3 linked regions of the Oryzias latipes genome follow. The protein of the gene in region 2 binds, or shares a complex with, the protein of the main gene of each other region. Links are inferred from orthologs where the notes say so. Each region holds a gene or a part of one and is shown on either strand. Other genes may lie near its edges.

The links.
Region 1: the proteins of itgav (region 2) and itgb6 are in contact, whole or in part, in a crystal structure (PDB 9CZA), measured with the Homo sapiens proteins. The link is inferred for Oryzias latipes from reciprocal best matches to the Homo sapiens genes ITGAV and ITGB6. Residues at the interface, in NP_002201.2 of Homo sapiens: Tyr48, Phe51, Lys72, Trp123, Leu141, His143, Gln150, Glu151, Arg152, Pro154, Asp178, Ala179, Phe184, Gln186, Phe189, Pro204, Tyr208, Trp209, Asp249, Tyr251, Tyr254, Pro274, Arg275, Arg278, Thr279, Met302, Ala303, Tyr305, Phe308, Pro328; in NP_000879.2 of Homo sapiens: Ser183, Pro184, Phe185, Lys187, Thr188, Thr189, Pro190, Ile236, Asp237, Thr238, Pro239, Asp273, Ser274, His275, Phe276, Gly277, Met278, Asp279, Lys281, Leu282, Ala283, Gly284, Val286, Pro288, Glu308, Thr311, Ile312, Gly313, Gln314, Ile316.
Region 3: the proteins of itgav (region 2) and itgb8 are in contact, whole or in part, in a cryo-EM structure (PDB 8TCF), measured with the Homo sapiens proteins. The link is inferred for Oryzias latipes from reciprocal best matches to the Homo sapiens genes ITGAV and ITGB8. Residues at the interface, in NP_002201.2 of Homo sapiens: Tyr48, Phe51, Trp123, Leu141, His143, Gln150, Glu151, Arg152, Pro154, Phe184, Gln186, Phe189, Pro204, Trp209, Asp249, Tyr251, Tyr254, Arg275, Arg278, Thr279, Gln301, Met302, Ala303, Tyr305, Phe308, Pro328, Leu329, Met331, Ser335, Asp336; in NP_002205.1 of Homo sapiens: Ser197, Pro198, Ile202, His203, Pro204, Arg206, Ile250, Asp251, Thr252, Pro253, Thr287, Ser288, His289, Leu290, Ala291, Leu292, Asp293, Lys295, Leu296, Gly298, Val300, Pro302, Glu321, Ser324, Leu325, Gly326, Gln327, Glu330, His349, Trp350.

What each region holds. Positions count from the first base shown.
Region 1 is NC_019861.2:14,539,421-14,549,004, reverse strand, and holds the start of itgb6 (integrin beta-6), read right to left. Parts: upstream 8,890-9,584; 5' UTR 8,671-8,889; intron 5,316-8,670; 5' UTR 5,301-5,315; coding exon 5,246-5,300; intron 4,937-5,245; coding exon 4,857-4,936; intron 4,751-4,856; coding exon 4,552-4,750; intron 4,474-4,551; coding exon 4,227-4,473; intron 4,138-4,226; coding exon 3,972-4,137; intron 3,710-3,971; coding exon 3,548-3,709; intron 3,143-3,547; coding exon 3,047-3,142; intron 2,816-3,046; coding exon 2,726-2,815; intron 1,852-2,725; coding exon 1,717-1,851; intron 62-1,716; coding exon 1-61. UniProt on the Homo sapiens protein: Integrin alpha-V:beta-6 (ITGAV:ITGB6) is a receptor for fibronectin and cytotactin. It recognizes the sequence R-G-D in its ligands. Internalization of integrin alpha-V/beta-6 via clathrin-mediated endocytosis promotes carcinoma cell invasion.
Region 2 is NC_019879.2:14,011,052-14,021,366, reverse strand, and holds the start of itgav (integrin alpha-V), read right to left. Parts: upstream 5,962-10,315; 5' UTR 5,809-5,961; intron 5,655-5,808; 5' UTR 5,551-5,654; coding exon 5,402-5,550; intron 778-5,401; coding exon 650-777; intron 1-649.
Region 3 is NC_019869.2:9,732,745-9,742,328, forward strand, and holds part of itgb8 (integrin beta-8), read right to left. Parts: intron 9,528-9,584; coding exon 9,388-9,527; intron 8,659-9,387; coding exon 8,493-8,658; intron 6,361-8,492; coding exon 6,202-6,360; intron 6,127-6,201; coding exon 6,031-6,126; intron 5,366-6,030; coding exon 5,273-5,365; intron 4,448-5,272; coding exon 4,307-4,447; intron 2,595-4,306; coding exon 2,192-2,594; intron 2,088-2,191; coding exon 1,868-2,087; intron 1,770-1,867; coding exon 1,690-1,769; intron 1-1,689. UniProt on the Homo sapiens protein: Integrin alpha-V:beta-8 (ITGAV:ITGB8) is a receptor for fibronectin. It recognizes the sequence R-G-D in its ligands.

The sequences.
Region 1 (9,584 bases), on a different chromosome or scaffold from region 2:
GAGAGAAGTGTCGCAGTCCTGACAGGCACCCTGGAAGCTCCACTGACACGTTGAAGACCACCTGTGGAGGAGAGGAGCTTCTATGATGCTAACAAACTAAAACTGGTCTTTGACCTTTGCACAAATACAGAACAAAATAATCTTTATTGCAGTGTGATGACTGACATGTTGTTTTTTTGTTAGAATATTTTTCGGCATCAGCTAAAAATGACAGGCCTCGATATTTCAGCCGGAGGCTCAACTGAAACTTGACGGGGCATTGCACACTGAAAGTCCAATATAATTTTTATCCTCTTTTTATTGTTTTTATTAAGTCAATTATTATATGCTAACACATTTTACTTGTTTGTTTAATGTCTGTTATAATCTACTGTGTCTCGTCTGTGCTCCTGTCCTTGGGCGTGGACCTCGCCTTTGGCTCGTCTCACGGCCCCAGCAGACCCCCAACTTCATCTGGATGAAGCCCAACTGCTATACTATTCAAACATGTAGTTGTAGAGTTAGATAAGCTCATTTTTCTTTAACAGTCCTGGTACATCGCCTGTCCGTTCTGGGGGAGGATCCCTCCTTCATGTGGACACCCCTGAGGTTTCTTCTTTTTTTTCTGTAATGGTTTTATAGGAGTTTTTCCTTACCGAGAAGGAGTGTGTAAGGGCAAAGATGCCCAGTTTAGCTTAGTCTGTTTAGTTTAGTTTAGTTTAGTTTAGTTTAGTTTAGTTTAGTTTAGTTTAGTTTAGTTTAGTTTAGTTTAGTTTAGTTTAGTTTAGTTTAGTTTAGTTTAGTTTAGTTTCGTTTCGTTTCGTTTCGTTTAGAATAATCAGCTATTGTATTTTGTAACTTATTTTATGCTTTGTACAATTAGTGAAGCCCGTTGAGACAACTGTGTTGTAATATTGGGCTATATAAATAAAACTGAACTGAATTGATCCGATGTGTGTATGCAGCAATAGACTGCTGGGAATCAAAAAAGTATTTATCTGATTCATTAACTTATAAAGTACTTTTTTTTTTTTGGAAATGCCACGTTTATTATTCAGAATGTGTCTATAAAGATCACTTACATGTTTTTTTTAAATGAATTTTATCCAACAAGATTTTTAAAAATGTTTGTTTCACAGTGAAAATACTCTTTTGTGGATTTGCTAAGTCATAAAAAAAGATCCTAGGTATGTCAAAGACAAACTTTGCTTTATGTGCCTTTTTTGTGCTTTCAAGCAACAGTTCCCTGCCATGTCTCTGAGAAGGATTATTTACAGAATTAGTGGCTGTTTTTAATCCCTAAAATAGACCAAAATTGAACCTACTTTAAAAAAAAAAGAGTCTGTTACATCATTAGTCTGAACAGGATTAAGTCAATTATGAAACTGGTTGATTGAATTTTGAAACATTAAATTAATTTCCCAAAAAAATTGTGTTTTTTAATTAATGTGAAAACCTATTGTTTTTTTGATAAAATCCCAACAGACCTTATGAAGATTTGGTACCTAAATCTTTAGGAGCTGCAGTATGAATCACTTTGCCAGGGCCTATGCTTTTAAAGAACAATTTACTCCAGGTTTGCATGTTAGGCACTCACTTCTGCTGTTGGGCTTTACTCAACTGAATTTATCTTATCTGTCATAGGTTTATGAGGTACTTCACAACATTTTGAACTGCACCCACCAGTCTGAAGGTTGCATTTTCAACAGCAAGCCACAAAAGGCAGAAGCCACTGACCGTCTCTCCAGGTTTGATGTTGGAACAGTATTTCACGTCAGGAAAGGCCGTCCCGTTGGGACAGATAGCTGTGAAGGATATGTGCAGCTCCTCTGTGTCTCCAAGAGCTTCCAGCTCAATCTCAGATCGTAGTTCCTGAAAAACAGACGTCCTTATGAAGAGGAAAGAGGTGCTGAAAAAAAAAACCTTTCCTTTGTTAGACAGCCAACCTCAGAATCCATCAAACGCCTGTTGTTTTTAAAAGTGGGGCTTTCTTTAATGTATGATTACTCTAACCTTGCAGTGACCTATGATCTGTTAACAGCTTGAAACTTCTTGCCTTTTCAGTGAGTCATCAGCCCAGGTGTGATAGGTGATACTGAAGGAGGAGTGACAGTTAACTGCTGCTGGAGAGAAAATGACAAATGGACTCTGTGACGAAGTGTCTAGGAGGCATCAGATGGTTAAGTTCCTCCAGGAATGAACCTGTACAGCGTCCTTTGTGCCGCTGTAGCGGGGAAACATTTACGGTACACGATGTCTAACGAGCAACATTTTGATCCATTGCATATCATAAACTGTAAAGCCTCCAGTTGTGTTGCTTTTGAGCTTCGTATCTACAGACGCATTGGGAAAGGGGACTCCTCTCCAGGTGCGGTTCAAAAGGGGCATAAGTGACGAAGTAATTAGAGGACTGTGCACCTCCACCACCAATCATGGCTCGTGCGGCGGGGGGTTTACAAAACAAGACTGAGAACGGCAGAGAGAAAAAAAGAGGGGCGAGGACATCAAACAGCTGGGGCAAGCAGGAACTTGCTGGTGCGAAAGCACGGCACGGCAGATGAAAAAATGCAATACAACACAAAGCGAAGGATGAACAGCAGGAGAATGGGCAGGAAAAGAAAAGGCTGTTGCCTTTCATTCATCATGACATAATCGTAAAAAAACAACCCTATTTTTTCCCCTTAACTATTAAGTGTTTGTTGGCTAATTTTGCTCTGAATCAGACTTGACCAGCCTCTTTATTTACTTTGTACGCCGACACAATCAGTTCCAGGACATTCCCTGAATCCTTTGCCAGAACTCCGACTGTGGCGCCAGGTATGAGATCTGCATAATTCTAAAAGAAAACAAAGCAAAACAAGCAAACAGAAGAGGCATTGTAACAAATGTAGGTAGTGTTGCCTGTAGTTTCAAAAGCAAAAAAAAAAAAAAGCGGAAAAAAGGCTGGGCTAGTTTGAACAGGTAGAATGAAGTCAGTACATTAAAATGTTACTGTCAGAAAGGATTTAAAATTCATCCTTTTTTTTTAGACCTACAAAACTGGAAAGAGTTGAACTTTTCATTTTACCTTATAGTTGTTTATCTGTTCCTCTGTCACAGCAAATATTAACAGGATGTTGTTTTCCACTACTTTTTCAATCAGCTGACCGAGAGTTGGATACTCCTGGAAAGGTAGGGATACCAAAGAGTAGACATGGAGGATTCAGTTGATTTAAACCTTTTGTAGGATATGCATCTTAGGTTGAAAATACATGCTTTTGAGGGTTGGTTCTGACACACTAAAGCCGCATAAAAGAAAAAAAAAGGCAGATTTGTGTTTCTTATAGTATATGTTTAACATAAAATCACCACAAAACTGGAGCTATAGAGATCTGATCCATTAGCACCCAGATTTTCTGTTGTAACCAATGTGTTTTTTTTAAGTGTTCAAGGGGAGTTGAGAAGCAAACACAAAGTCAGGACTAAATGTGGTCTGGTATCAACTCTGATTTTTTTTTAAAACCCTTCTTCAAGGGTTTATTTTGGAAATTCAACCTAAAGCATCTAAACTACCTGGCTTAAGGTTTACCTGCAATGTAGACATGTAATAATCATTGTTTGCATCCAGGTGACACTGGCCATCATTGGGAATCACAATTCCAGCCATCCTACTATCCATCCCAAAGTGTGAGTCGGCACCACTGACAAAAACCAGCAGACGCATCGAATCATTCCTCCAGCCGATCTTGTCCTGTAGGAGCCACATCAGCTATGACTAATCATAGAATAAAAGTTCATGACACAGAAACTGACTTTTACTAAACGAAGTACTCAAATAATCCGTCCCAATCAGATTTCTGCTCCTACTTACCAGGGAAGTGCTGGACATGACTGAGATATGAGTAAGAATCAGCTGGCAGGTATATGGCTCAAATCTGGAGCAGCTGGCGTTTCTAATCATCTACATTCGCTTTTTCCCCCAAAAAAGTAATTTTAGAAGGAAACTGTCTTACCCCGCAAACTGTTGCTTGCATTATTGCATCAAATCCACCCTCCAACAGATCAAGATTTGCAGACACTTTTTGCTTTGCAATGATCTCGTTGAACTTGTCAGTTCTGCTTGTCAGAGGCAAAACGTGTTTGTAGCCAAACGTTGGCTGGCAAATCATGCTTGTGTGGCTGTAGGGGGGTACAGGGGGTAGAAAAAAAACATGTCAAAATAAAGAAGAAGATAAAAAGAGGAGTTTCTGCCGAGTGATGCGTCACACCTGCAAGGGTTTGCCAGCTGTTTCTCAGTGATCTGGATGAAGGGAAGGACAGGCTTGTCCACAAATGATCCAAAACCCATCCGGAATTTACTGGTAAGTTTGGCCATTTCTTTAGACAGAGTAGAACCCAAGTTCTTGATCATCCCTAGGTCATCAAACATGGATGCAGACAGGTCCATCAGGTAGTAGATGTCCACCGGATAATCTTCAGTGTGCTTTATTTTTACTTGGAAAGTCACCTCACTGCCTGAAGGCAAACAATGCAACCCATTAATTTTGTTTAAAAATGAGGGACGCGGCCTAAGAAAGTCTGTTGACTGCTTACCAGGTCGCAGCTTCAGGGACATTTTTTGTGGGGAGATTTGAGTCTGGTTTCCAGCAGCTGGCTTCTTCTCTAGAGGTCGATCTTGAAGAATTTGGGCTTCGGAAACGGGTAAATAGATGTGGGCTCTGTCGCATCCCTTTTCCAACAAAATATTCAGGGTGTCACATCTTTGTGAGACTGAAAACCAGTCGGTGAAATTCTACAAAACAAAGCAACACATTGAAGGATTTGGCATTGCACTTCCAGTAAAACCGTACAATGTGACCGTCCGCATGTTGGGGTTTCATGCACTTGTTGCTGATTACCTCCTCTGTGCACCAGGCACAGTTAGCACTGAGCTGCAGACAGTCATCACAGGTCACCACACTGCCTTCTGAGCAGGATCCTGCAGTTCACATGAACACAGGAGAGCTGAACTTGTTGACACTAAGCATATTTGTATGGCACTTTGGTATTTTCATTGTTAGAGGATTTTTTCATTGTTTACAGTTGTGGGACCTAATCTTTTGAGATACAAAAACTTTTTTTAATATCCCAAATCAGATGTTGATATTTCAATAAATAGTAGTTTTTGACATAAACACAATAGCCCCAAATATTTAGTATCCGTTAGTGTGTTTGCTCGTCGCTCATGTTTGCGCATGACAGAAGTGTCGCCCTTTCTTTTATTAAACGGAACCAAACCCTCGCTTACCCTCCACGGTGTGGATCCAGTACCGCAGGATCAGGCTCAGCAGTAGAAACCCCATCAGTCCGGCAGGTTACTGGTTGGGAAGAAACATAAGAAGAATGTTTCAAGTTGGCTCAGGAGCTATTTACAGGCGTGAAACCTATCCATGATCCTCCAGAGAGAGCGGAGCGGGACAGCGCAGCACCTGAAGAAGAGGAGGAGGAGGCGAGAGGCTGCTTTTACCTGCGCAGCCTTTGGTTTCACTTCCGTCCAGGTGAGAAAACGAGGCGGGAGCGCGAGCGCACCGCACGCGCGCACTACCTCCTTTTTTTCTTCCAGCCGTAGCAGAAATCTGTCATAAGTAATTTGTCATATACTGTTTTGTGGGCGTGAGAGACATTAACATTTTGTCAAATGGTGAAGATTATGTTCCAACAAAGAGGAAAGGTTCAACTAGACTAAAGACGGTCTGCAGAGGCTCCATTAAAGTTTAGGTTTGACTTAACCATGTGTTCTTGCTTCACATTCATTAATCCCCTTTACTCCGTGATCAAACATGAATGTTGAAACACAGTGAAGTCTGAAGCGGTTTGTTGTTGTTGTTGTCTTAACAACCTGTGTTGGATTTTGTGCTGCTGTTATGGCTCCTTATCTTTTCTAGATCACCTGCATGGCTTTTCCACACTCAGCTACAGGGAGTCATTCAATCTAAATCTGTCTGATTTACAGGAGTGAGTGTTCCTCTGTTACCTCCTTTTATTATGATGCTGTCATAGCCAGTTCCAGGTTTACTTTAGTCCAGCTGCTGGTCTAGGACAAAATATCTGACATTTTATTTTAAAAGAGGCTGTTTTTCTCATCTAAAAAGCTGTAATTAAGGGAATTTTTCATCTTTTGACATTATTATATCACAAAAACTAGTTTCTTTCTTCCTAATTCGAAGGTTTTAGTTAAACCTGTTTTTGGAAGGAAAAAAGTAGTTTAAAATCAAAGCCCCAAGCGGCGTTGTACAGTACAGACCAAAAGTGTGGACACATCTTCCCATTAATTTAATGAGAATGTGTGTCCAAACTTTTGGTCTGTACTGGATGTCTGCAGTAGCTAGCCGCCCTAAGTAGGCAAAGTGAGGATGTGCCCCTCTTTTTTGCCCTTCCCCTTTTTTGCCATACCACCCTGTCAAAGCTTCTTGTGACAAATTCATTAAAAATAACTTTTTTCAAAAGGTGGCTTTTCTGTTGGTTTTATCTCCATAGCAACCATTTTGTTATTTTGGTCATCTGGGTGTGACGAACAGGTCTATGTAATTTTTAGAAGAATCAGCAAAAAGTAGCCATTTTTGGATTACCTTGGCCACAGATGTTTTCTGTTAACCACGCTCCCATTCCTAACATGTTCATATCGTATGTCAGTTTTGTTCAGCTTGAGCCAACGATTCTTGTATTACGTTTACACAATATTCTATGTAAAAGTGCACGCAACAAGCCACTTTTGATCGCAACGCTAACGCCATTCAAAATCTGCTACTTCTAAATTTAGCCTTTTTTGGCGTAGTAGCTTCTGATTGATACTCGGGGGGATTATGAGATGATAGATCAAAATCCCTTGTCGGAGCTTAGATTTGTAGAAGGTACTTAAGGTTTGTGCCTGAATTCCTTCCCTACGCACTATATAGTGTGTTCGCCATTTTGTAGTGCTGTCCGAATCTACAATTCCAAAATCAAGTGCCCTAGAAATTTCCCATAAGTCTCTGCAAAAACCAGTGTGCATCGATGCTCACTAGAGTGATGAATATAAATCACAATGTATCGCGTCTGAACCATTTTTGGCAAAAAAATTTATCTAGATGTATTTTTTAATAAACCATCAACGTTTTTATCTTCGGAAGACAGTAGATTCATAAATGATCATTGCAAAATGACGTCGACGATGTCATATTCACTGTTTAAAATAAAAAAAAAAGTAGTAAGCATGGTGTCTGAATTGCTTTTAAAATTCAGGGCACTACACAGTCCTGCACTATATCGTTTTTTTGTAGTTAGGGGTTAGGGTAGGAATTCGGACATAGCCATAGTGATTTTTTGGGGGAAAATTCAAGATGGTTGCCTCTTCCTGAGGTCAAAGTTCAACGAACGCTTGGTAGTGGCTGCAAAGTTTAGTTGGCGGGATGTGCGTGAAATTTTATGAATATCGCTCAAACAAAATTTTTCTTTTCCCATATTGCGGGAAAATGAGAAAAACAACAACTGCCACAATTTGCCACAAAATGGCTGTCAAGTGACCATCCCAAATTATTTTCAAAACTTCACTTCGTTAGAAAGTCTTTTCACTGGGTGGTACGTGAGTACCAAGGCTGCTGTATCAAAGTGAAACTTAGAGCAGAAATCCTGCTGGTTCACCCAAACCTTTACGTTATGCATGTTATTTAAGCAAAGTGGAGCAAAGTGTCAATGAATCAATTAACTTAATGAACTCTCCTCTTCTGAATCAGAGCAAACTTTCCTAAAATAATAGTAACATTGAAAATATTGTTAATTTCCTCATAACTGTTTGGATCCGTCAGACATTACAGTCTAACGTTTAATCACAGAGTCTTTTGGACAATACCACTAAAATTCAGACAAATCACACCATGAGCAAATACAGTCGCTAAACTCTATTATCCGGACGATATTACTAAAGTTATGTTAATTTTTAACTTCGGCATGAGTCACTATTGCCACCTCCACGCTGTTTTAGCAGCTTGACGATTAACTTCTGGTAAAGACGGGTTTGCAGGCCGGTCACATGATCTGAAACTCAGTGCATGTGTGTTTAAATCAGGAGGTCAGAGGGTCTGGAGCTGCATAGGTACTGAACCATTGACAGCTGCACAGCCAACATCACTGCCAGCCCCAACTCAGAGGAATCTCACTATATAGCCCCAGCCCCCCTTCCCACCCCCACTGAATCAGAGTGAGTCCCATCTGTCACCCCGGACCAAACCCCACCTCTTCTCCTTCCTCTCCTTTCTGCCCCTAAATTTCAACCCCCTCTCCATAACCCACCCACTTCTTCCAGCCTATCTTCTAGATGTCAGCGTTTCATTCATTCTTCCCCTCCGTGTGCCTGTCAGTCCACTTGCACGGCTCCTGCCTTTCTCCTCACATCTCCTCTGCATCCTTTTGTTTTTGCATTTGATCATTTGGTGCTTTAGGCACAAATTAGAAGACACTTTTCCACCTCACAAACTTTCAAACCTGACTTTGGTTTAAAACCGTTGCAGCCGATTTCTGGGGAGTGGAGAGTCTTATTTTGAAAAGCTGAAAATGCTGTGTCAAATTTACCACAACGTGTCTTTTAATTCTGTCCAGATCTGAGGCACTTTGTTACTGTGGAAAAACAGAACTAGTTCTGAGCAAACCAAAACAAATCCATAAATTATTCAGCCAAACGTTCCTCAGCCAACTCACCTTCAGGGCCATCCTCTGATAACATGCTGTCCGGTCTCAGTCTGTCCTCTTTGCCATGAAGGAAAAGTTAGGGAGAAACAGAGAGGCAAGAGGCCGCCGCATTCGCTCCTATTGTCTCTCGACCGCTGTCAGAGTAACAGTAAACCTATTGTAACGGCGCCCTTTAAGAAGCATGGCACAAGGGTGACCCTGCTACCCATGCTTGTTGGATTTTGTGTGTGGGTGTGTGTCTGGGTTTGAAAGTGAGTGAGTGAGTGTGCATGCATGCAGGGGTCATGTGTGGGTGTCTGCACAAGCTCCGGCTTGCTCGTATGTGTGAGCACTGGGAGGCTGCAGTGATAATGAGCGACAGCAACAACTGCCGGCTCTGAGACCTCCACAGGAGCCCCGCTCCTTTATTAAGAGCCGGCCTGACTGATGTGCTGGCATTGCACTCTAGAGGCTGCACCACGACACAAAGGCAGGGGCTTCGTGATGGCTGTGGATCTCGGGTGTGTGGGCTCATGTTTATTCAAGATGACTTGCGGTACTCCCTGCAGCATGGAGGGGCATGGAGGGAGCGCCAGTTCTGTAATACGGCCTCCTTCCTGCAGCGGTATGACAAGAATGCAGGTGTACATGTGCTTATTGGTGAGCGGGACAAAATAATGAAGCACATTCCCACACTTTGCAAGAGGAGAGGAGCAGATCAAACCTGGCCATAGTCCCAGAGGCCTTGAAACGTGCAGCTTCTTTTTATTAGATGCTTGGCACAGGAATGGACTAAAACCCCCACAGGAGCCCAGCTGAGTTGAATGCTTGCAGACACATGCTGACAGGCCCAGGCTGTAGATGTTCAGCTGGTTCAATACACTGGTCAGAACACTCAAACATATGTTAGTCTGCATTTAAAATATAGAAATTAGTAGTAAAGT
Region 2 (10,315 bases):
AACTAAAGCCTGCACCTTTTGGGCATGTCTGAGCATTCCCTTCATAATGATGGGGATTGCTGCACTGGGTGAAGTTGGCCTGGAGGAACATTTTGCATTGCATCAACAGCTGCTTCTCTCCTTCCCCCTTTTTCTGCCTTTTCCACCTTTCAGGATCTAAACTCTGAAATCAGGTTTACAGGCATCTTTTTCGACAAAAACTGAAAAGCATTTACTCATGAGGTGAAATTGCTGCTTATTCTTACATGATCTGGGGTGATGAAACTTTTGACAAGAGCAGCACTTTGACAAAACTGTAGCCGATAGGAAAGTGAGTCAGGAACACGCCCAGACAGATGATAAAAGATAGAAATCACACCTTGTATTTTTCCAGGATAAAATCCTTCATATTGTTCTCTGAATTAGCCACTATGCTGAATGAAAGATGAAGATCTTTCAAACTGTCTGCACCAGTCTGAAGATAAGTTGGCTAAAAAAGCGTATTTTGCTCCACAACATCACTTATCCTCAAACTGTCCCAAAGCTACACACTTCCATCCACCATAAACTACTTCCTGCAACAGCAGAAAGTAGTTTATGGTCACCCAGAGTGTAACTCCTACTTTAATGCTCCACCAGAACACCAAGCATGAGCAGAAAGTTCTGGTACCTGAGCTGTCAAAGGGCACCTCCTTGCAGTCTTTGCTGTTCCAGGGGCAGCTGAATACCGCTCCTCTCTCCACCACGCTGCTGGAGGACGAGGTGTTTGCCCGAGGAGCTCCGACGAGAACGTCTGACCTGGACAGACAGACCAGGCATTAGATTCCACAAAAAGGTCACAGAGAGGCAGCAAGACCAAATATACACACATTCAGGACTTCCATGCACTAGATAAAAAGACAAGTTATCTGAACTTTATCTGAACCCACAACATCTGGAGTTAATGAAGATTGTTTATCTCTAAACAGACCACATTAGTCTGACAGATATCACAAATAAACCTCAGAATTCCATGTTTAAGAGAATCCAAATCAGTCTGAGCGCTGAAGAATTTCTGTGCTCCATAGTACCTAATCCAGAGTGGCTACATGACGTCAAACCACCAGAGAGCTCGTTTTTGTGAATTCAACTTGAATAGTAGTGATGGAAAACAGAGTCTGAACTTTCGAGAAAAAAAATCTCCATTCAGCTAAATGGTTCAAACAAAACAAACCAGAGGTGTGATAGAGCTCCTCTGGTTTTTCATTTTGATGCAAGCTGGAGCAGCTTCCAGTTGTGCAGCAGGAGGAGTTTTCAAACAAAGCGTCTTTGTTTGCGGCAGCTTGCTTTTGTTGCAGATTATCCAGAGGTAACCACTCAATGGATTACAAAATACAAAAGAACATTTCTGTATTTGTGTTTGATGATTCTTTCAGACTGCTGCTTCACGGGGCTGGGATGGACAAATGCTGTTTATGGACTGACGTGTCACTTCAGTTTTGGATAGCAGCGTGAAAACAACAAGTTGTTTAGTCATTCAGGGAACATAGCAGCAGTAGCTCATCTTCATCTAATCCTCTAAAACCTGAGCTTTGGCAGCTCAACTGCAAATAAAAACTACCAAAAATATTGAAAGATTCTGGATTATCTTCTTGCCATCTCACTGTAATCCATTTCTTAATCACTTCCTCTTGACTGAGGTAACAATTTTTATGGTAGAAAATCCAACAACAAATAATCAACTTGTCATTTTTGACCTTAAATATTTGATTTACTTGCAAAGCAATAACTTTAACTCCAAGTTTTTCTGTTTTAGTGATGACAACAACCTTGTGCTATCCAAGGCAGCTATTCGTGGGAGTGGGGTCATCTAGAACCCACAAAACAGCAGGCTGAACTTTTTTTCCCCAATGATTTTTGATTTTCACTGGTGTCCATGGCAGACATGAAATCCTATAACACCTTCGTCATGGAATGTAAGGACGAGGTCATCTGGACCCAACTAGATAGCACAAAGGAAAAAATAAGACTTAGATGACCTTACAAGTCACTTTTTTTAATTTATGATGACACAGCCTTTAAATTTCTGAAAACCATCTTCAGGAAGTGTGTGTGAACTAAGATATGTCAAACTGTCTCCTCAGACAGATTCTGAGGGAAAGCAAGCAGGAAAACTTAAGACCAGACTGTCACAATGTTCCAAAGACTCCAGACTATGTGACTAAATGAGTCACCCACATGAATAATCCACAGTGAAGCAGAAGGTTGTGTTCCACCAAGATTTCAACCAGAAAACATGAGAAAGATCAGATTCTTCACTTTTGTTAAAAGTCTAAGCCAAAATAGAGTACAAACAAGCAAGAAAAACTAATGTTAAGATGCACCCAATGAAAACGAAAAAAGAGCTGAAAGTATTTGACATTCAACAAATCTGTAAGATGATCCACTTCAACAGATGAGTTTCCTTAAGTGTGAGAGACAAAGTTTAAAAAATGTTTTATTTTTAAAGGATTTATTTGTGTAATGGAGCAGATCAGTCATCCAGTGTCCTTTGCAGAAAAGCAGCCTGAAACCATGATGCTTCCACCCCCATGCTTTACAGTGGGGTATGGCACTTTTGGGATTCAGCACTCTTTCTCCTCCAAACACAGTGAGTTCCATTTGGTCTCATCTGACCACGACAATCTCACAATCCTTGTCTAGATCATCCAGATACTCTCTGGAGAACTTTGAATGGTTCTGGACATGTTCTGGGGAACCTCTGGAGCTCTACAAGATTTCAATCCATGACGCCGTAGTGTATTACTTTAGTGAACTTTGTTCCCAGCTCTCTTCCGGTCATTAACCAGTTCCCTCATGTAGTTCTGGGTTCTTTCCTCATCCTTCTCAAAATCCTTTGTACCTCACCAGGTGAAATCTTTCATGGAGTGTCAGGTGGAGGGAGATTGTCAGTGATCTAGTATTTCTTACTTTTTCTAATAATTGCTCCAACAGTTGATCTTGTCTTTCAAAGCTGTTTGTTTATTATAGTTTGGTTCATCCAAGTCTTGTTCCACTCTACAATCTTGTCCCTGGTATCCTTTGACAGCTCTTTCGTCTTGATCATTGTGGAGAGGTTGCAGTCTGGCTGTTTAAGAGTGTGGACACATGTCTTTTATGCAAATAATAGTTCAAACTGGTGACATTAATGCAGGTAACCAGTGGGGAATAGAAGAACTTCTTGTAGAAGTAGTAACAGGTCTGTGAGGAACTGAAGTCTTGTATGTTTGTTTGAAGTTGAATATTTATTTTTTGCACCATTTCTCAGATAACTCCCTTATAAATCAAGCAATGTAATTTCCTGGTTTCTATCTTATATTCTGTCTCACAGCTGAAAGGTTTTAATGATGAACACTACAGACCAAACTCCTCTTAGTGAGAACACTTGCATAATCAGTGACTGATAAATACTTGTTTGCCACACTTTATGACATCATTCAATTAAAACATACACTATACCTCAGAATGTTCTGAATGAAACCGAGTCAGCAGACTTAATACTAAGGTGGGTCCTACTTTAACTGGTATTTCATAAACATTATATTACAATAGTACTGAAAATAAATCTGTGTAGTTAACATTAAATCTGTAACAAACAAATGCTTGGGTTTGAAATACTTAAGCCAGAGTATACATTAATCATTTGAGCAAAGATAACCTGCATGTGAGGCATTTAACTTCTCCAACTGCACCAGATGGAGTGAATTCCAACAAGTATAAAAAGGGTTTGCTGATGCATTCAATGGCTGGAGTACACAGTAATTGAAATATTAGGAAGATGAGGACAAAGTGAAAAAACACCATTTTGAATAACTTTTATTATTTGTTTCTTTGAAATGCTAATAGGTACTGTTTGCGCTGGTTTAAGATATGATAGAGAAACAACAACTTATAAAGGTGATTCTGTAAAAGAGCAGCAAACTGGGTCATTTCCATTGGGACTGAACCATTTTACACACCCAGTATCTGATCAGTGTCTGGTCCCTATTGATCAGATCAAGATATTGACAAATGGCAGCTATCTTGTGACAGTCAGGTTATTACATTGAGATTTATAGCACATCTACTGATTTCTTTCTACATGTAAACACATCAATCTGTTTCCTTTCTGTCTTTTATGTTTGAAAATGTTTTTTTAAAAGCAATTTGGCAGGAAAAAAAGTCAGATGTTTAACCATTTACTTAAAATTTATTTTTTCTTCATTAAGGGTAACAGAAACGTCTGAATTGTTTTACAGATTTATAGTAAAAACATTTTTTAAAAATTGTTTCGTTTATGACTACACATCCACTGAATAGCAGTAGTTCATCAGCAATTTACCTCTGACTTGTGGGTGGGACCATTGGGGCAGAGTAAGTTTCCCATCATCCCTTTATTTACACTCTTCCTGCTAGTTTATAGCCCCTCACAACCCCAACCTAATATTAGCAGTGCAACAAAAATGGTAAGGAATATTGCGGCTATCCATATGTACAGTTTAGATCCAAATTCCACCTCAGACGAGGAAAACAAAGACGTACATGGGTCTTTTTGTCTGCAAGTGGATGCATCAGAATGGAGCAGAGCAGGAAGCTGGTGTGTTTTTTACGTCACAAATACAACTGTATTCAACCTGTATTTTGTCGTCTGCTCCTGATTCCCAAGAACTGCAATTTTGAGCTTAAATAATTTTCTTTATATATATCCATCATGAAAAAAATGCCACAAGAACATGTAAAAAAACACTATTTTCTTTGCATTGGGGTGGGTCTTTAAAGAGGTGTTTAAAATAGGGTCAAATTGATGAAGAGCTTATAGACGTGGCAGATCTGATTCCTATAGTTATCCAAGAACTCCCAGTTTTCAGATTTTTGTTTTTTTGTTTGTAACAAACATGTTACAGACAGGAAAACAGAGTATAAATGTCCTCTTCAGAAACGCTAAAGGTTGTTTCAGTGAGGAGGCCATACCTGGTTGCCACCTCTTTTATTTTTTATCTACCTCAGGCAGAATAATTATTAGGAAACACTACTTACTGTATTACATAGCTTCTAATCTCCATTTTCTTGATTTCACATTTCAGAAAATTATTGACTGGATGTTGTGAGAAACACTGCAAACAAAAGAATGTTACTTTTATTTCGATTTATTTTATTTTTAAATGCTCTGTTATTTTGCCTTGTAAATGCATTACAATTAATTAGAAGAAGGTATACTTATTTTATGTTTAATTTTAGTTGCTTCTGTAGTTTTTACAACTGATTACTTTTTACTCTTAAATTTTCTTTTTTTGAAAATTAATGTTAAGTCAAATGATTTGAGTAAATTAGTAATTCCCGCGTGCTTAAATGTCAGACGCCTTTCGAAAATTCCTAGACTTTATCTTAATCCCGTCATGTTTCGCATGTTCTTCTTAACCCTTACTTGAAGAAGTCCACCGAGAAGCCGAAGTAGCTTCGTTCGGATCCTTCGTACACGGAGGGTTTGTCCACGTCCAGGTTGAAGGAGCTGCTGTGATGGAAGCGTAAACACGCCAGAACCAGAACGGCGACAGCGGTGCGTCCCCCCGCCATGGCTGCTGCTGCTGCTGAAGACCTCCGCGGCTTCACCGAGGACCACTCACTCAGGCGGAGGAGATGCTGCCACTCACCGTGTGCGCAAACTCAACTTCCGGTGCCTTGAAAACATCAAACGGCGTCACTTCAAAACAGCCTGGAAAATCTCAGCCGTCCACCCGAGAGCTCTGCCTCGCAACCGCCGAACAAGTCTTCATGTAAAACAGACACTGATTGTGTTGTCGGCTCGTCCAGGAGGGACCGACTTTTACACACCCAGCGACACGGCCGAACCAAGCTTTGATCCGGTCGGGCTTCTGTAGCCTACAGAACAGCGGGATTCCACGGAGAGGCCACCGCTGCACAGCTCCTGTTCACGGATAAATGTGTGACAGTCAGAGCGAGCTAAAATCAGGCTAATTTACCAAGGGGGGGGGGGGGGGGATCTGCTCAATGACTTCCGGCCCGTCCCTTTCAAATCAAAAGCTCCCCATGCTGACGTAAACTTTGATTTTAGATACATGGTCAGTGAACAAAGAGAGAACTTAAAGACCCACTCCAGTGAATCGTGTTTTTTTAACATGTTATTGTTGTATTTTTCCGATGATGGAGGACATGATATAAAGAATATTAAACATATAATATGTATTTGTGGAACAGGTAATATTAGGCTGGGGGGGTGTGAGAGGCTGGTTGTAAGCCAGCAGGACAGAGTGTAAACAGATGGATGTCGGGAAGTAGAAACGGGCTAACTCTATAAGTCCCGCCCACAACTCAGAGACAAATTTCTGATGAACTCCTGCTGCTCTGCAGAAACCATTTTCCAGAAAATGACACAGGTTTTTTAATTTTGGCTAATAACTCTATAATCATTATTAAAAGACCACTGGGAACACTTTAAAAAAAGAGCAGAGTGGGACTTTAACAGTCATGAACTGTGATGGAAGGAACGCGTTACAAAAAAGTATTAGCAGAGTACCTAATATAACATTACAGTAATGCAGATATATTATAATTGATCTCAGAAATAATTTACTTATTTGGTGAATAATTAAATAAAATTCTTCACTAATTGGGATAATTTAAGAAAACATTTTTACATTATGAGGATCACTTCAAGTTAGTGGAGCAAAATTCAAAGCTCTGTTTTAATCCCGTTTTACCAGTACTCTTGTGTTGTCCATGTATCTATTAAATATAAAATTGGAAATTTACTTAAAAAAATAACTTTGCCACAACTTATTAGTGTTTTAAAACAATAAAGTTAGATTTTACATAACTTTATGTAAGATTTAATACAAAATAAGATAAAATTTACTTTATACCTACCCTGAGAGTTTTTTTCTTATTATTATTTTTCTAACTTGTTCTGTCCAACAACTGAGCAAAAAGATGAGCGCTGAAGGCCTTTTGTGTTGGACAGGTTTTACTATTACAAAAGGGGGTTACGAATCTTCGGATAGACAAGGTGTAAATGGGGGAGACCCTGCACTAGGAGCGTCCGCAGCAACGGGACCCACGCAACCCGATTGTGTGTGTGTGTGTGTGTGTGGGGGGGGGGGGTGGTACTGCCCACCTACCCAGCCAGGTGCAGAGGAAGGCCCCCTACAGGGGCTCCTCCGGCACCGGGAAGTATAGGCGAGCCCAGTGTCAGGACCCACAGGCCACAGGACAGGCGTGCTCCGACATACCGGGCGGCAGCCATTCGGGCCACTGGGCGCTGGACATCGAGACGTGGGCCCAGGAGCCGCCCACCACCCAGCTGGAGCCTGACCCAAGCAGCCCAAAGATTATGATGCAACCACAGCTCCACCCCTACCTCCCCCCACATTACCCTCTACAGCACTCCTCCCTTATCCCCCCGCTGCCCTTCCCACTCTGGAAAAGGGAGGGTGAGCCCCCAGGCCTGTCCCCACCCATGCACTCTCACACACACACACACACATTCTTCTGGTTGCCCCCCGTGGCTGCTCAGTAACCCACTCCAGCCCACCGACCCCCTAGCACCGCACGCCTGGCCACTGCTTCGGCTAACAGGGTCCCCACACGCCCGGCCGCCCAGGGGGACCAGGCCGCCCCTCTCCGATCCCTAAAATATGCGAGTAAAAGTGGAATGGAGGGCGAGTGCCGATGAGGCCCCAAAGAGAGTAACTCCCGGTCAGCCCCACCAGCATATCCCACCCGTCCAATTCCCGGAGCCCTCTGTGCATGTGTGCAAAATTTGTTCGGTGGGAGCGGAAAGGAGGAGGCGGATGGGCACAACCGGGGGAAGAAGGCCCCCCAGCCAGCCGCAGTGGGCGGCTGGGGGGCCGGTCACTGCCAGCCGCAGTGGGCGGCTGGCTGGAAAAGAAGGAGAAAATAAATAAATACATTAATAAAATAATAATAATCATGAAGAAAAGAAAAGAAAAAGGAAATAAATACAAATAAAAAATAAAGGTAAAGTAATTAAATTAAGTAAAAAGCCCTTTTTAAAGCCCTTTGCCCAGAGGAACCCCGAAAGTGCAATAAATTAACCCCTTCACCCCTCTGCTGTTGATGCATCGTTGACCCCAGGGGCCAGGCCAAGCGCCAAGGAATCGGCCACGGGCAAAACACCGGCTGAGGGCAGCCAAGCCCCAGGCCCGAAAATCCTAAGATCCCTCCCAGGCCAAGCCTCAGCGGCCACACCTGTCCAGGAACGTTCCCGGCTGGCAGCCACCGCCCACCCTGTGCCCAGAATGCACAGACCCATGAACCCCCGCCTCAATGCTAGCCAAGTGCGCACCCCCGATCCCCCCCTCCCCCAAGCAGCCAGAGCCCTGAAGCCAGGAGAACACCAGGCCCTGAGAGTTTTTTACAGGCGCCTTGTAAATGTTGTTTACTTTTAGCATATCTCATCAGGGTTCGCCACGGCAAATGATATAAACCTGTACAAATCCGCAGTTTTACACCAGATGCCCTTTCTGACAGAGCCCTTTATTTTTCGGCAGGGGACCAGCTGGCACATGGAGGCCCGAACTTGGGCCCCCTGTGTAGCCCCTTGTGGCTACATAGTTAGGCAGAAACGTGTTGGGTCTTACTCAAGGACCCACAATGGAATAAACTCATCATGCCCCCTGGAAAATAAAACCCTGGTTTCCCATAAACCAGTCCTGCATGTAGCCAACTAAGCCATCAAGCTGGTTGAAAGGCGCCTTATAAATAAAATGTGTTATTAAATAGTATTAAAAAGATTTAATTTAAGCAAGTATTGGCACAAATGTAAAGGATTCAATATTGGTTTGATCTTCTGAGCAGGAGGCTAACGAGGAGGTTCATGGATGAAGTGAAGGAGGAGATGAAGTTGTAGTGAGAGTGAGCAGTATGTAAGGAAGGGGATGGGCTTAGGCGGATGTTTTGCTGAGGGAAAAACAAAGAGGAGAAAAAATTCATATTAAGAATAAAATGTCATTGTTGTAACTATAATGTTGTGTTATTGTTGTATTAATATTCTTCACCAAAGAACAGAAAACAAAAGTAGGACATGATGCCATTCTCTTTTGTAGTGTTTTCAAAAAGTAGTGCAATCTCACAAATTTCCTTTACAATGCTTTGTGTTTTTTAAAATATTTCTAATACAATGAAATTACTTCTAATAACAGTAATAGCAATATGTTTCAGTGCTTTCTGTGTTTTGACCAAATGTCTAACAAGCTTCTTTCTTTCTGAATTGAAGGGTACTAAAATACCTCTGTATACATTATCGCTACATGGGAAACCAGGGTTCTTTTCCAAGGGGGCGCCATGAGCTAAATCCAGTGGGGCCCGAGTCAAGGTCTCCCTGTGCCGGTCCCCAGCCCAGATAAAATACAGGTTTGTGTCAGGAAGGTCATCCAGCATAAAACTCTCTGCCAAACCAAAATGTGCGGATCATTGAAAGCTGATTCACGGTAGCGACCCCTGACAGTATGTGCAGAAAGGTGAACACCAACTTTTCAATATTTTATTCCTACTTAAGTGTTGGTATAAATACCTTATAATTATTTACCAAATTAACACGGATGCTTAGCAATCTGTTGGTCTACCAATGATCATTTTTACAACTTTAGACGTATTCAAATCAGGCGTGTTTGTGTGTCTTTGTCGGCCTGGATTCAGCTTAACACAACACAAAGCTGAGGCCCAACAGGAAGTTCATTCCAGCAATAAACAGAAGGATCACACAGTCAGCAATGATGTTTTTCATGTTGAATTAAATTAATCAGTTCACTTTTACCTTCCTTTTGTACAAATTTCAAATCTTGCATTTGATCCTTGTTTTCCTTTTAGTAGAAATGTAATGTTTTTATCCACATAGACAAATTATTTATTTTATATGTCTGACTCAATTAAATCTGACGTGAAATGTGATTCCCTTAAAGTCAATTGAGAAAAAGAAAACACTAGATCAAATTCCAGACATGGGGTTAAGATCAGGTCATGCGGTTGTCCTAAGAGTGGACAGCTCACTCATTCCTGGCTGCATGTTGGCCTGAATTCATGATACTCAGTAACGGCTTACATCACAATGACCTAAGAATTCACATGGCAACAGTTTGGCAGGATAACTGAGCTTTTGGTCTTATTTGGCCATGAAGCGCTGTGAATCCCTGCTGAGATGAAGTGTGCGTTTAAGAATGTGCAGCAAAAACTAACATAACATTCTTTTGGGGGGGGAGGGTGTTACATGTAAAAGGGAGAAAGATTGGGAAAGAGAGAGGATGTATTTTATGCTCAGCTTTCATGTTCTATTGAAATGATTACAGTGAAATTAGGTTCACAG
Region 3 (9,584 bases), on a different chromosome or scaffold from region 2:
TTGGACGTGCAGTGCTGTGTGTGCGCGTTTGTGTGTGTGTCATCCAGTCCAGGAGTGACTCAGCTGGGATTCAGCTTAGGTGTGTGTGTTTGTAAAAAATGAAGAAATCAAGCTGGAACTGAAGGTAAATGGGAAACACAGCTGTAACTGTGATACCTGGCTTACTGACTCAAAGACAACAAGTTGTGCAGCTTTGCAAGCAATAAAGTGCCACTAGAACAGCATGTGTGCACAGGTGTGTTACACTATAGTCTTGTGTTATTATGAAACTTGGTCTGCCAAGACCCTAATGAAGGCAGAGTCTTCTAAAATGGATTTAAACAAATTATCATATGTACCAAATTTTTTGGAGGATAAGTCATTTTATTTTATCATTTATTTTAATTTTTTTTTTGCATAGTTTGGCTGGGGGTGCAACCTATACTCAGGAGCAATTTATATATGATTTTTGATTAATAAATATTGGCTCACATATTCTTTATTTTCCCGCTAACAACCTGTTGCCCTTTAGCGTTTGTTTCGCAACCGATAACGTTTGTGATCACATTTTTGGACAACCAATGAGCAGCAAATGTGATGTGTTCGTTGATGAAAATTTGATGTGAAAGCAGCGTTACATTGGGCTTGGCAAATCTTTTTCAATAGCATCACACCTTTCTACCAAAAGTTCAACATATACTCCAGTGTGACTTAATTACTAATACTAATGCATACTCATGCATAATTCTCTTTTATGCATTTTTTCTGGTGCTGCGACTCGTACTCGGGAGCGACGTATAACTTGAAAAAAATGCCATGTAGGATGACATAAAGTTTCACAGTGAGAAATCCCTGCCTCGAATCCTGGCTGGGTCCTTTTTGTGTGGAGTTTGTGTGTTCTCCTGGTGCATGTGTCGGTTTTCTCCGGCCACTTTCTCACACAGTCCAAAAACATGCTTCATAGGTGGAATAGCTAAATGGCTAAAGTGCCACTATGTGTGCATGTGAGTGTGTGTTATTGTGTGGCCCTGTAACAGACTGATGACCTATGTAGGGTGTACCCCCCCCCTTATGCAAGTGTAGCTGGGATAGGCTCCAGCAACCCCAGAATTCAGCAGGTTCTGAAGATGGATGTATGTAAGTAGGATGACATAAAGCCTAAACAATATTTGAATTTAGTGTAAGTTCAGCAAGATAAGACAATTAATGTTTTGGAGTAACTTAATTTATCTCTTTTTTCCTAAATTGTAGTATTTTTGGGGGTGAACAACTTTTAAGACTTATATAAACAAAACAAAAAATCCTCTACTAGAAGGTTTTCCAAATCAGCGACTTTTTCACTACGTGTCAGTTTTTCAAATTACAACTCTAGAATATGATTGAAACATTGATAAATTGTGCATTTGTGTTTAGATAAACAACAATTACAATGTCATCATTGTGTCTTCTCTGCTTTTTCACACAAACAACAGAAACATTTATATTCATCTATCTTGAGAACCCACTGGATCCCGCTGCTGGAGCCAACCCAGCTACTGAACAAGGTGGGGTACACTTTGAACACCTGTCTGTTGCAGGGTCACACAATTACACCTATGGGCAATTTTGAGATGCCAATTAACCTATGAAGGAAGGAAGAAGACCAATGGGTTATGATGGGTTTGTCACATTGAAGCATATTATCATCAAGCAAAGTTGGGCTCAGATTACCTGATGCATTATCCATGTAGCTGACCATTGACACCTCTTTTTGCGAGAGTCCAAAAGAATGTAGGCAAGTCCCACTTTTACTAAAAAACAAAAACAAAAGAAAACATTCACAGTGAATCAAGGGTAAGATCTTGACTTTCATGTTAATTTCATGTCAAGATTTGAATTTCTCATGTACCAGTAAGATTGCCATGTGCTTTGACAAGTAGGACATTTCTCACAGAAGTCTCCATGCCGTTGAGGTTCGTCACACACACACTTTCCACATACACACTTGCCCTGCCCATTGCAGAGTAAACCATTTGAAAAGCAGGTAATTGTGGAGAGGGGACAGCCACAGTCATCACCGCTCCACCCATCCTCGCAGACACACTGTCCCAAAACACACACACCTTGACCTTAAGGACAGATGGAAAAAGGGGGAAATTAGTTTACAGGTGTTAACAATTTTCAAAAGTCTCATTATTACAAACTAGTTTTGATGTATTAGGGTTTTCCCTACCTGCACAGATTAGTCCCCCTTTGTATGGACAGGAGAAGTCATCTATTTCACAATATTTCCCTTGTATAGTCCCAAGTCTAACTTGGTCACACACACAGCTCCCACACACACACATTCCCCGCCCACTGCAGTCCACATCTGCACCGCTCGCTCTACAGCTCCTGCTTGGATCTGTGTTGTCATGCAGAAGATGCTCCTGCTTTGCACCATCTTGAGGCCCTTGACAGGGCAACTGTTCGTCTTCATGGCAATGCCCTGTTGTTCCGCATCGGCAGTGACATTTGGAACGGATCCTAACAACCGTCGACTCGTTGTAACCCACAGGGCGAACGATCACCCTCACGTCTTCATCTTTGCCATCATCAGCACAGGAGTGTTGACCGATGGTGATATTAAAGTAGACCTGCATGACAAAAACAGGGCAGTATTTTTAGCTTCGCATTGACAGAACACTTTCTGGACAGTAAATTCTTTAAAAATTGTGTTTTGGTGTTTTTAACATGTTCTTGTAGTAATTTTCTCAAGATGGAGAACACGCTCAAATTTGCGCTTTGTGTATTTCTTTATTCAAATCATTGTGAATTAAAAAAATGCTGTTTGAAAAAGTTACCCTATATTTTTGTCCTCATCTGGCATATTTAAATTTGGATTTGAGTTGGTAAATTTCTATCGTATGTTGATGGATGCTACATTACTGAAAGTATTTACTTTTTCTGTTCAAACCTTTGTTTGTTTGCAGGAATGACAGTAAATGAATGGCATCTCTTTGCCTGGTTACAACATCGATACCTCAATTTTAAACAGTACATAGGCAAAATCTAAATAGTTCTAAATAGTTGGAGTGACTCAGCATGAATAATTATCCTATTGATGTGGAAAACTGTGCACAACAAGACCTTTTCCTGATATTTATCACCACTGCGGAAAACTTCTTTCCATAATTCAGTTTAATCCATCCAAGGATTAAAGGATTGAGCGTTTGTCTCTCACCACAATGAAACAATTACAGAGCAATGATTTAGTGTCTTGGAGTTTAAGAAGGATCACACAAAGGTTACAGAAAAGAGAATGTCAGCACATTTATGAATGTGAAATAGAGAAACCAAAGCTACAATTCCCAGTGTATTCATATCTAGTGTATCTACATCTACATGTATTTATAGCCAAGTGCTTTTATGTTTTCCTTCAAATTGAAATATTTAATCATGCAGAGCAAATAGTCACAACAAACACTTTTAAAAACCCACTTTAATCCTCATTTGCTCTATTTTAAAGTGTTTCCAGTGGTCTTTTATAAATGATTATCCCATTTTTAGCCCAAATGATCTAGGACATAGTTTCTACAGAGCGGCAGTAGTTCATTAAAAATTTGCCTCTGAGCTGTGGGCTGGACTGTTGGTGCTGAGTAAGCCCGCCTGTACTTCCTGTCATCCATCTGTTTACGTGCTCTCCCACAATCTCACAGCCCCCCCACAACTCAACCTAACATCCGCAGTGAAACAAAAATGGCGAGAAATTTTTGAGAAGTTTAGAGCCAGATTCCAGCTCAGACGAGGGAAAAAAAAGACATACATTGATTTATTTGTCCACAAGTGAATCCATAGCAATGGAGCGGAGCAGAAAGCTTGTGGGCCGCCCAACGTGTTTACTAACAAATAGAACCTTTTACAAACAGCATTGTTTCGTCTGCTCCTGGTTTACAATTGAATAAAGAAATGCAATTTTAAGTTTAATTATGTTTTCTCCATCATGAGAAAAATGCCACAAAAACACAATTTTCCTCCAGGTCGGTCTTTAAGGTTATTTTCGTTATAAATCAAATGTCTCATTTGTTTGGATGGAGAGTCATATTAGGCAAGGCAAAGGTTTGAGGACAAAAAAGATCACGGAATCACATGGAAATGTTTTCCTGTTAAATACAGGCAATAATCCGCTCAACTTGGATTATTTAACAAATCTTCTCTGTCATGAAAGCTTTAGGTAATGTGCTTGTGTAGGTGTGTTCTTGCACGTCCAAACAATCCGAAACGGAGAAAAAAGGCTAAGAAACCTCTCTGTAAGTAAAAGTTCTCTTGATTGAATTTCTACAAACTGATACTCTGTAGGAGTGCTCACCGTCTGGTTTGGCTGCACTCCTGTGCAGCTCCAGCCTTTAGGCGTGGATCCATCGGGACACAGAGGAGACACAGAGACCCAGTATCTGCTGACTGCTTTGTCCTCCACTGACACAGACACCAACACCTCTGACAGCAGCCTCTGAGCGGGACAAAAGAAAGAGGGGGAATTAAATTTTAGCTTTACATGACACTAAAACGTCCAGTTTAATCTGATTTTGAGGTAGACTTAGATTAAATTCTCTAAAAGCAGCTCAATCATCAACATCACTAGAAAGCACTTCCTTTCTTTGTGCCTACTCTTCTTTTACAAATACCAGGGGGTTTATGGGTAAGAGGGGGTGGAGCCAAAAATAGAATCTTTGTCTCCGTCCATGATTAGGACACATGGTTTCCTTGGGGATCTGATACTGCTACAATGGCAGCTTCTGTTTGGACTCTGTTTGTGTGTGTGTGTGTGTGTTTGTGTGCACATATGTGTGTAGATGCATGCCCCAATCTGAGGATTCGGCAGATTCACAAGGCAAACAATGGAGCACTTTGCCGGAGGCAAGATTATAGTCGCAGACTGCTGCCAACTGAACTAACCCAAGGTCTCACGCACACAAAAGCACGCTGAAGCTTACCCCTCCTTAGCCTCTTGTCCTCATCCATGTTTTTCTGTTTGAATTGTTCAAAAACCTCATGTAATGGTTGTTGAACTCTCTGTGATGTAAAAAGTGTGTTGTTGTACCACAAAACGTGCACAGAAATTTAACATATTTGAGTCTAGATGTCTGTTGTTGTAATATTGGGCTAAAAAATTCAATTGAATTCTGGAGCTCTGTCTGCTAATCTGATGGTACTAAAAAGGCTGCAAAAGGAATAAGTAAAAAGAAAAGGTTCAACTGTGTTGCCACAACTGATTGGAGGATTCCTTTTACTAAGGGGAACACAATAGGACAGGGAGAATACCTTATATTCTTACCTTATATGCATCCACCACCAGATCTACCAGGCTTGGTGCTTGACGGAGGCTTAACTTTCCCAAGTAGGAACCAGGAAGTAGGCGCACCAGCTCCTAGAGGAACAAACACATGAATTTAAAGAATAGTAAGCAACTTAGTGGCCTTAAACTAGAGTATCCACCCTGACAGTGGAAGGTTGTGAGTTAAAAATCCATGATTGGTGGGACCCAATGCCTGCCTGCTTGACACTCAGCAAGGAGCTGGATTAAAACACTGCTCCGTCCAGGGGATGGGTCAAATGCAGAACATAATTTCACACATCCAAATGTGTGATATGGAACCCCTACAGGGACATAAACGTAAAAAGAAATAGTACTGGTTTCTCGTGCACCAAAAAGTGTCAAACCAAAGACTTTAGAACTTGTTTTAGGTCACATTCAGAGATGACATAATGGTGACGCTGGACAAGCAAAGCCACGATGTCTTTGTAGGCGAGTCTGAAGGTAAAATAAAAGTTAGTAAGTTCACATAATGTCATTTTCAGATGACTTACTGAAAAGGTCTCCTATATGCAGATGACCATTTATTTTCTGGTGTGCACAGATACTTTCTTGTGCGCAAGAGAAACCAGTACAAATCTTTTTTTACTTCTTACGTCTATGTCTCTTTAGGGGCTCCGTAGCATGACAACTAATGGGACTTTAACTTTAGTTACACTGGAATGTGGATCATCAGGTAAAACTATCTGTTCAAGGGTTGCATCTGAGGGACAGATTACCTCATACCACTGGTACCGCTGTTTATCCACAGCGAAGACAGAGTAGATATGGTTTTCAAGCAGCTTTTCAGACAACTGTCCCAAACTGGGATGATCCTATAAAGGAGAAAACCCAACGATGAGATATGTGTCAATCTACTCTTAATCTTGAAACTACTTCTCACTCCTCACCATCTTTGTGCTTCCTGTGTAAACATTGTTTTCCAAGTGACAAAGGCCATCATGTGGCACAACAATCCCTGCCAGCCGGCTGTCCAGGGCGAGGTGAGAGGGCTGGTCAGTCATTAGGAGCAGCAGACGCTTTGCTTCAGATCGCCAACCAACTGCATCCTTGATAGAAAAGTCACATTTAGGTATGGTGTGTTAGCTCCTAAGTCTTTAGGACAATAAAGCAACAATTTCACAACAGTTTTTCGTTTTAATTTGAATTAGCACACATGTGAATTGCTCCAGATAGAATTTGTGCTTGAACCAACACACTATGTGGACATTTGCTGCAAAGACTCTACTTTTTTTTATGCCATAATCACATGCACTCAGGTTGACCCATGAAACTGCTGTGGGTTTTTGGGGTGCTCGGGCCTGTGGAGGGTTCGACATCTACAAAGGAACGCAGGTGTGTTCTGCAGTTCCCTTGAGTTTTATACGGCCACCTTAAGAGTTGTCATAAAAAGGAAATGTATGACAGTTGTGTGTGTGATAAGCAGATTATAAAGTATTTGTCATACTACGTTCACACCAGGCTCAAAAATGTGCTATCAAGAGACTAAATTCAATCAGAAATCTGTGTTAATGCACGTAAATGCAAATTTTGGGCTTCTACATTCAAAACGTTTCGCATTCACACATCGCTACACACGTCACCACACACGTTTTTGAGTCTAGTTTGGGCCTCTAAGTACAAGACACGAGGCCATTGAATGCACATTGAAAGCTAAACCAGTTGAACTTTGACCAATAATAGTCTCGGGTTTGCTAGTGATGTATGGTCAGCATCCTTTGTTATTTTCTGAAGTGGCAACTGTTTGCAAAGTGATCATGGATGATGAATTAATAATTGCGTTTTGTGTCTTACCGTAATTCTATGGCACCAAGTCTCTCATAAATCGCAATAGAGCAGTGAAAGAAAAAGTCTGGCGCAAGATTCACAACATTTTGCATCAAACCTCTTCCAACTGTAGGGACATATGCTAGTATGCGACAGTCTAGTGTGAACACTGTATGCTAAAAGCGCCTTCAAGAATCTTCCTTTGGCTCATTCTTGAACACACATCACATGCCTGTTGTGTACGTAGCATAGGAATATTGTAAGTTACACGCAATTATGACCTACGAGTAATGCTGTTGTGTGATGCCCTTTTACGTAGCACTTCAGCTGGTGGTAAGGTACTGGCTCCTCCCTGACCGTAAACAAATGCTGCACACACCTATAAGACACCTGTAGGATGCCCGCACAAACTACACTCTAATTTCCTAATATGTAACAGTCAGGCTGCAGGCAAGGAGCGCACACTTACCTGAACAGCCCTAAAGGGCCCTTTGCACAGCACACAGGACTTAAGGGGGTGGAAAAAAGGAAAATCTGTATGACGTGCCTGTGTCTCGGATGCGGACAGTCTGCGTGCCCTGTACATGTACACCGCAGAGAGCCCATATCCATCCATAAGGGCAGTTGTGACGAAGGCCTAACGTGTGTCGTTGGCTAACAAGGTATGTACCTATCTATGTAGTGTGTTATGATTAAAAAAACAACAGTTATATGTAAGTTTTTCCCACTGGATTGCAATATCACACATGTAAATACCCTACAGTAAAAAAATAATGAAATGGCATGACAGGCTGTTTGTCGTTCATCTCAAACTTTTCTTAAAAACTCTCAGTCTAAGTAAAGTGCTGATGATTTTTTTTGGACTTAACATAGGGAGCTTGATAACTAACAGGACCTTTTTCACAGGACTCCATATGCTTCCCATTTTGAAGTTTTATGAGTGCGGTAAAAGAAAAATGCAGTGTCAAACTTTTCAGTCATCGGAATCAGATCTATTGCCGTTATGTTCACATTTTTCTGTAAAGAAGAAACAATTTAAAACAGCTAAAATCCCACGAGCTGACAGTGTCTCCTTTATGTCTTTAACCTCTGCAGAGACCGTGTGAGAAAATAAGAGCAAATGCGTGAGCAATTGAGGAAAGCTTATAAGTAGCTAATGGAGAATCTATTTCTGGCCTTGATGACCACCATGATGTTTCCCTGAAAACTGGTTGCTTCGTGCCCCCTTACATGGCGTGACTCAGCCCCAGTGTAAGCATTTGTGACTGTTTGTGTGCCATACTTCCACACTGATGTCTTCTGCTTAATGCTATTGCAGAGATAACGTTCAATGCTGAGTCAGAGTTCACCCATTGTCCCTGAACAAAAGCCCTTCTCAGTGTCATGCAGACACAACACTGAAGGCCCCATTCACCTGGCAGACAGCAGCTTGCAGCATGGCGTCCAGCCCTCCTTCAGGTGTGTCCATGTTACCAGAGATGCGCTGGCGCTTGATCGTACGCGTGAACTCGCTCATATTCCCAGTCATGCTGAGAACGTGGTGGAAACCGTGGGCCGGGCGACAGCGGATCTCATAATCGCTGGCGAGAAACGCAAAACAGTCTTATGTTTTAAGCTGCAACAGTCAGGAATGCAGAGCTGCTGCACTGCTTTACATGCACATCTCGTATTCATAATGCTGTCCTAGCATCCAAGTTTATGTTGACCACACAAGACCATCTCTACCTTGTCACTTCCTCTTTTTTTTAATACATTAATATTTTTTGTATCTTAAAAACATCTGAGAATTTTTTTTAAATTGTAAAGTGCAAAAAAGATAGAAAATATACTACATGTGTTTTTCATGTATCCAAATAATAAAAGAGGGCTGGACTGTTGTTGCAGAGTAAGCCTGCGCTCATTTTCCATCATTCCTTTGTTTACACTCTCTCCCGCTAGCTTACAGTCCCTCACAGGGTGAGCAATCTTGTAGCTATCCAGCCATACAGTTTAGTTCCTGATTCCAGCTCAGACGAGTAAAATAAAGACGTACATGGATCTATTTGCAATTGGATGCATCAGAATGGAGCGGAGCAGGAAGCTTGTGACCTGATGATTGTAGTTTGTACTTAACAACTACAAGCTTTTTTAAACTGCATTTTTTTATCTGCTCCTGATTTATGATTTGAAGAAAGAAATACTTAGAAATGTAATATTTAGCTTAATTTCCCTTATATATGCCCTCTATCATCAAAACAATATGACAAAAACATGTTAATAACACCAAAAACATAATGTTTATTGGAGTGCGTCTTTAACCAACCTCTTACCTGCAGGGGTTGTTGATCTTAGAAGGGTGTACATTGATGTAAGGTGACACAGGTTTATCCACAAACGAGCCAAAACCCAGCCAAAGGTCTGAGGTGTGCTGCATCATACGAAGAGACAAGGCCACACCCACCGTCTTCAACTACATTACAGATAGGGAGAGATCCAGGATGCACAAGAACACAACAGGAAAGATGAG